Linked DNA regions of Macaca mulatta. The protein of the gene in region 2 interacts with the protein of the main gene of each other region in a pairwise test. Links are inferred from orthologs where the notes say so. Each region holds a gene or a part of one and is shown on either strand. Other genes may lie near its edges.

The links. The genes of interacting proteins can lie anywhere in the genome.
Region 1: the proteins of FHL2 (region 2) and KIAA1217 interact in binary tests that used the Homo sapiens proteins (3 or more experiments, as listed by UniProt). The two-hybrid records come from large-scale screens. The link is inferred for Macaca mulatta from reciprocal best matches to the Homo sapiens genes FHL2 and KIAA1217.

Annotation. Positions count from the first base shown.
Region 1 is NC_133414.1:25,647,231-25,650,980, reverse strand, and holds the start of KIAA1217 (sickle tail protein homolog), read right to left. Parts: upstream 2,534-3,750; 5' UTR 182-2,533; coding exon 112-181; intron 1-111. UniProt on the Homo sapiens protein: Required for normal development of intervertebral disks.
Region 2 is NC_133418.1:13,489,941-13,493,590, forward strand, and holds part of FHL2 (four and a half LIM domains protein 2), read right to left. Parts: intron 845-3,650; coding exon 665-844; intron 651-664; exon of another isoform or gene 1-650. UniProt on the Homo sapiens protein: May function as a molecular transmitter linking various signaling pathways to transcriptional regulation. Negatively regulates the transcriptional repressor E4F1 and may function in cell growth.

The sequences.
Region 1 (3,750 bases), on a different chromosome or scaffold from region 2:
TTTTTTTTTTTTTTTCTTTGCCAGGTCCCAGGGCTGCAGTTTATAAAAAGCAGCAAGCGGCAAGGGGCACGCGTCCCTGTAACTCCATCTTTGAATGGGTCTGTTACTTACCCTGCATCTGTCTTCTGTCTGCTGAGTAAGGAAGGCACGGCTCACATTTCTGGCTTTCATTTTCTTCCATTGTCTCTGCCTGCCGCAAAAGCTCCTTGCTCTCTGGAAACTTCAGAGCGCAGTTCTAAAAGCTCCCAGAAAGCGCCTGGGAGGGGGCCCGGGGCTGGGGAGGAGGGGACGGTGCGAAACCCCACCCCAAACTATTTTCCACTCCGGTGCAAAGTCTCCCTCGCCGGAGAAAACTGCATTCCAGCGCCGGGCCTCTTGGATCTCCCCTACCCCTGGCCCTCCGTCCCTAGGTCTGTCCGACCGTCCGTCTGTCCGTCCGTCCGCAGGCGCGCTCCCCGGGGACTGGGGGCTGGGCTCTGCCAGGGCAGGGCGATGCCGGGGGTTGGGCGCGAGGGGGGAGGCCCCAACAGGTGACGGCCTCTCCTACCCACAGCTCGGCCTGCCTGGTTCCACCGCTGCAAACCACCGAGGCTCTGCAGCCCAGGAAGGAAAACATTTCACACATGATTAAGGCCAGGAGCCTTCGCTGGGAGCCAGTGCCCTCATCTCTTTAATCTCAGAGGGAGAGTGAGCCTCCCAAATCGGGTGATCCACATATTAAGAAACAGCAACCTGTCGAACCTCCCAAATTTCAGTGAACTCCCTTAAAAAAAAAAAATCCCAAACAATTTGAAAGAAAGGGTCTATGCTGAGTGCTGCAAGTAAGCACTTTCCGGCACTAATTTTTTAGGGCCCGATTAACATCTATGAAGAGGTCTAGCGTCATTTGCACACAGTCGATTTCAATCACTCAATCTGGACTTTTTAAAAAAAGTTTCTACTTACTTGCCTCACTTTCTCAGACTCCTCCCTTCCCCAACACACTTACAAACACACACACACTCACACACACACTCAGCCCTTGATCACAAATCCAAAAGGTAAACTAGTAAAGTCAACCTTCTGAAGCTCTCCCAGTTAACAACTTCAAAACATCTGAAAGACAGTGAAAATGCATTTCTTTGGATGGGCAGAGTTACAGCCAACATACTTCTTCTCCTTTTAAACCACCTACAAATATTTATTTTGTTCTTTACCCAGTCCTTGAAAAACTGGCAGAGTTCCCAGAGAGTGAAAATAGGGGGCATGATGTCCGGAGGGAAAAAAAAAAAAGGATGGCAAAATAATCTAGGCAACATTAGCTCTGCAACCTCAGATATCTCAGGGTAACAGTAGCTAGGAGGAAGAGTGCAATATTGTAGCCTGTAGCAGCCCCATCACTGGAAGGTTAAAAAAGGACAATGCTTAGTCTGGTGACCATACCTTGCCCCAGTTTACAGGGCATTCCAGCAAGGTTTGAGATTGATTTAAATCAAGAATGTGTACAGAACAATGGCCGGCCTATGTTCCAGATTGTGACCTCGAGTGACCTGTGTGTTTTGGCAGTGGGGGTGACGTATTTTGGTCATTTAAGACATAAGGATGTGGAAGCACCTAACAGACAAAGGATGTAGGCCAAAAGGAAAGGAGACATGCCAGGAAGTGAGTTATACTCATGTCGGGAGGGGAAGAAGAGAGCCCCTCAATTCCTAACGGGATTTTTCTTGAAATCCAAGAAGACGCAGTGAATCTTTCAGAAAAATAAACCAGTGCCTTGGCAGCCTGAATAGAGGCAGTGGGGTTTGCAGAGCAGATAACTTAAGGTCTCTATGACTTTGCAACAGAATTACCTGGCAATCTTGCTTTAAGGAGGAATGAATCGTACACAGTTTCTGTCCCGGTGGCCCCTGGGCAAAGCCAGATGAATCTAGTTTTAAACGTACTATTTCCTTAGGTGTAAAATGTTCATGAAGGAGGCCCCTCCTATGTTCAGCCTTTCAGGTCCAGATCATCCTGATTCTTGTACACTGTTGTGGTATTAGTCTTTAAGGCATTAATGCCAGGAAGAGTGGAGAGGAGGGCGGGAGAAAAGTGAGAGAGAGAGAGAGAGAGAGAAACACTGCAGTTGCAGCAGCCCAAATCAGATGTCCCTCAGCCTTTAGTTGTGACCCCAAGCCCCTTGCTTTGGTGTCCAGAGAGCCCATCCTTAGCAGCTCCTACCTGTCATTTGGTAGCACAGAGGCAAAAACCCCAGGATGAAGGAGGCAGCAGAGAGCTGCCATGGCAGCTGGCAGCCACAAACCATACCCTGCCCTGGGGCCCTCCTGGCTAGCTCAACCCAGGCAGAAGAGATCCATTGGCAGATGCTGATTATGATTTCCTGGGGGCTGTTTGGAAGGTGTCACAGCAGTCTTTCAAGGCCTCTGTTGATCCCTAGATGGACAAAAATAGGGGAATGTTTCCCACCAGGTCTGAACTACCGTTTTCCAGGCAGGCCAAGGAACCCCCTTGGTCAGTCCACCTTGCGTTCCAGCTGCTAGAACCCTCCCCTCCCTCATATGGGCCAAGCTGACTACCCTCTCCACTGATATTCCAGGAAGCAAAACTCTGTGATATGCACGACAGAAAAAGGCGTTAGGGGGGAAGACATGTAACATAAATCATTAAGGACCATGAAATCTAGACATGTATTTACAGTAAAATAATGTTCTTTTGAATGATCAAACTTTCTGACCATTCTATAGGGAAAAGCTTCTATTGGATTACTTACCAGCCTTTCGTTCCTCCTTAAGAGGAGGAACTGAAAACAATTTGAGAAGGCACTCTATTAGCCCTTGCACCGACTATTCCATATCTTTCTCCAAAGCACAGAGACCTTCCTAACCATTTAACACTGATTGTCAGTTTCTCTGGAAAACAGTAGCTGTATTCTGCAATCTATATAAACCTGCTAACTCCGATCTTCATGAAAATACTCTTATTGTCACCGCTGTTACTGTGGAGATGTTCTTCTTTCCGGAAGAAACACTATTTGAACTAGAAGTAGGTGTATTTCTTTCTGGTTTAATTTAATTTCTGGGCTTAAAAATTGCTATTACATTGCAATCTGCCTACTGCTATACTTTGAAATTTGCTGTGAAAGGCATAAGGAAAGCGGCAAGAACTTGAAATCTGATTTCCCTCCAATCATATAGAGAACTAGAATAATAATAATACCAGGAGGCTAAGTTTTCAACTCCATTTCTGTTAACAGGGAAAGGTGCAAGACTATTTCTTGGTTAGTGGTTCCATATGTTGCAATTCATGACTCAAAATGAGCTACCACATAAAACAAATGTCATTTAAAAGGAAAGACAAGTGATGAGATAATAGAGTGCTGTAAAGACAAATGGTGATTTTGTAGTCATAGCTAACCTGTTACAGAACTGGACCATTATTGGTGCTGATAACGCAACATAAGTGGCAACCACCATGAAGAGAATTAATCACAAAAATCGTAAACAATTGCATGCGATTTCTCAGCAGGCCAGTTACAGGGTTGTGGAAAGCATGTCAATTTCCTTTATGTAAGTTTTTCTTTTCTTTCTTTCTTTTTTTTTTTTTTTGAGATGGTGTCTTGCTCTGTTTTTTTTGAGATGGCACCTTGCTCAGTTACCCAGTGGTGCGATCTCGGCTCACTGCAACCTCTGCCTCCTGGGTTCAAGCGATTCTCCTGCCTCAGCCTCCTGAGTAGCTGGGACTACAGGCACATGCCACCATGCCTGGCTAACT
Region 2 (3,650 bases):
GACACGGAGCCCGGGCTGGAACTGGGCAGTCTGGTGGCTGAACTCTCATGCTTGGCCTGTTAAATACTGGTAGAAGTGACCAGTGGTCTCTGCTGAACCACGCTGTGCCATCCCAGGAGAGCCGTGAACGCATTTCCCCATTGAAAGGAAACAATACAAATCCTGTCCTTCTCTCATTAAAGGAAAAGAGCCCACAATCTTCCAAGGACTTTGTGCTTTTATGTGCCCATTTATCCAGGAACCCACTCTGGTTCTCTCATGCACACATTCATTCATCAAATATTGACTGAGCACAGCACCTGCTCCGCGTTACTCACCATGGGGCAAACAGACAAGAGGAAGAGAGCACCGCCCTTAAGAAAGTTACAGTGTTGGTAGGCAGCTGGGTGGTTAGATAAGGGCACTAATAACTAGAACACAGAGAATGTACTCAGAGACACTAAGCACGAAAGTCCTGGCAAGGCCTTCACCCAGTGCTTGTGGGCAGAGATCACATTAGCTAGAGGGAAGAAGCTTCCGAAAGGCTACATGCAGGGTCCGCACCTCTCGGAGGGGGCTCAAGAGACAGACTTTAGTGGTGGATCAGGGCTTCAGCACAAATCACAGAGAAGCCCGTGTTTCTTGGGGGAGCAGCCGGGGACCCGCAGAGTCCCGTGGCAGGTACCTTGCAGTCACAGCCGATGGGCTTCCCACACTCCTCGCAGGTGTTGGCGAAGAGGGTCTCGAAGCACGCCACGCAGTAGGGGCTCTCCTCCCGCAGGATGTACTTCTTGCCAAAGAGAGATTCGTTGCAATGGTGGCAGTCAAAGCGCTCCGTCATTTTGACACCTGCCTTTTCAGCAACCTATCAAAAAGAAGGGAAAATCCAGGTCCCATTGAGCACTCTCTGAAAGAGATGCACGCAAAGACATTAACTGTCCCACTGTCTGCCATCTTTAGCTGAAAGGTGGTTAATTCCTCTGGATGAATAATTAAAACTCACCCTTTAATAGGTCATAATTTTCAATGATAACACCTTTTTTGTTTTCTTTTTCATTAGCTAAGGCAGTTTTGTGTTTGAATGCATTCACTTCGTGTTTTGTTTGTTTGTTTGTTTGTTTTGAGACAGAGTTTTGTTCTTTCATCCAGGCTGGAGTGCAGTGGTGCAATCTCAGCTCACTGCAACCTCTGCCTCCCAGGTTCAAGCGATTCTCCTGCCTCAGCCTCCCGAGTAGCTGAGATTACAGGTGCCTGCCACCATGCCCAGCTAATTTTTATAGTTTTAGTAGAGACAGGCTTTTACCATGTTGGCCAGGCTGGTCTCAAACTCCTGACCTCAGGTGATCTGCCCGCCTCGCCTAGCAAAGTGCTGAGATTACAGGCGTGAGCCACCACACCTGGTCACATTCCACTTCTTGAAAAGCACGAATTATTTTTTACTGTGTCAGAAAAAGCTATCTCAGTTTTAAATACAGGTAAGGGCTGGCACCAGAGCCCCCATCCTGTCCGGCTGTGACCCAGCCTTGCATCTTCCCCTTCTCCCTGCCCCCAAAATAGAAAGGCAGGCATAGAAATAATATGTCCATTTCTATAAAAAGATTTTCCATGAGCTCCTCTTTATGATTCATGATTTGAATAGGAAGAAATCACAGCGGCAAAAGGGAGGGAGATCTGACCTGGGAAACCTGAGAGTAGATGCAATGAGGCCACTATTACCCTTGACCTCCGTGCTGCATTGGGAGTGCAAGCTGACCTTGCACAAGAGAAACTGCCAAAGTCCCTGAGGATGAATCATTGCTCCCTATGGGAAAGATCATCCTGCAGCTGCCCAGGTATCCTGAGAGCAGGATAAAGGGAAAGATTCACTTCCCAAAACAATGATATGGAATAGTCAGAAATGCAGTGGCTGCAGTCAATGGCTCTCTGGGCAACACTTCAAGCCCTTTCAACAGGAACAAGACACTGGCGAGGTTGCGGAGAAAAGGGAACATTTATACACTGTGCATGGGAGTGTAAATTAGTTCAACCATTGTGGAAAGCAGTATGGAGATTCCTCCAAGAGCTAAAAACAGAACTACCATTTGACCCAGCAATCCCATTACTGGGTATACACCTAGAGAAATACGAATCATTCTACCATAAAGACACATGTACAGGAATGTTCATTGCATCACTTTTCACAATACCGATGACATGGAATCGACCTAAATGCCCAGCAATGACAGATTGGATAAAGAAAATGTGGTACATATACATCATGAAATACTATGCAGCCATAAAAAAGAATGAGATCATGTCTTTTGTGGGAACGCGGATGCAGCTGGAGGCCATTTTCCTTGGCAAACTAATGCACGAACAGAAAGCCAAATACTGCATGTTCTCACTTATGAGCGGGGCCAAATGAGGGAACACATGAACACAAAGAGGTGAACAACAGACACTGGGGTCTACCTGAGCAGGGAGGGAGGGTGGGAGGAGAGAGAGGAGCAGAAAAGGTAACACTTGGGTACTAGGATTAATACCTGGGTGATGAAATAATATGTACAACAAACCCCTGTGACAACAGTTTACCTATATAACAAACCTGCACATGTAACCTGAACCGAAAATAAAAGTTAAAAAAAAGGCGTCTCCACGCCCGGCACACTGCACTTTTCCTAGGATGAATACACGGTGTGCATAAGTAGCAAGGGACGGGCCCTTCTCTTATGACCATTCCTATAATCATGTCAGAATGATCCTGGAGAGAAAACGCCTACCACAGGAATAGCTGGTGTGGAGAAACGTCCGTAGGGCATTAAAAACAGACAAGTTTCTTCAGGAATAAATGGCAATATTCCATTTCCTAAAAGTGGAAAGTTTTCTCTGTTGTTAAATAGGTACACCGGGCTGGGTGCGGTCACTCACGCCTGTATTTCCAGCACTTTGGGAGGCTGAGACTGGTGGATCACCTGAGGTCGGGAGCTCGAGACCAGTCTGGCTAACATGGTGAAACCCTGTCTCTACTAAAAATACAAAAAACAAAACAAAAACCAAATTAGCCGGGCACGGTGGTGCATGCCTGTAATGCCAGCTACTCACGAGGCTAAGGCAGGACAATCGTTTGAAACCAGGAAGTGGAGATTGCAGTGAGCTGATAATGGCACCTCTGCACTCCAGCCTGGGTGACAGAGTGAGACTCCGTCTCAAAAAAAAAAAAAAAAAAAAAATAGGTAGACTGGTTGGCTATGTAACTGTGAGCAAGAGTTCACAGGCTCTAAGAACACTTGGTTCAATTTGCAGTCTTCAAACGATAGGAGAGTGAAATCCCAGAATCAGACCTTCTGATGCAAATAAAATATTATCGCCTGGTTTATGATTACAGGAAATTTGATAGAGTTTATTAATTTTGTACTATTGCATATACACGGTCCTGACAACTGTAAGCAAGGAAAAGATCATCTTTCAAGCATCCATTCTTGGATATTTCTGTGTTTACAGAATAATTCTCTTCCAAGAGCAATAAATACGCAGCTGGACACATGTGGCAAGATCCGTCCTTCTAAATCACTCTTCCTGGAGTTAAAGAAAACATTGCCTGGACATTCTTGTGATAACATCACAAGATGAGGCTCTTGAGCACTTGAATTATTGTTCTGAAACCCAACGTATAAATATCCTTTGTACCGCGG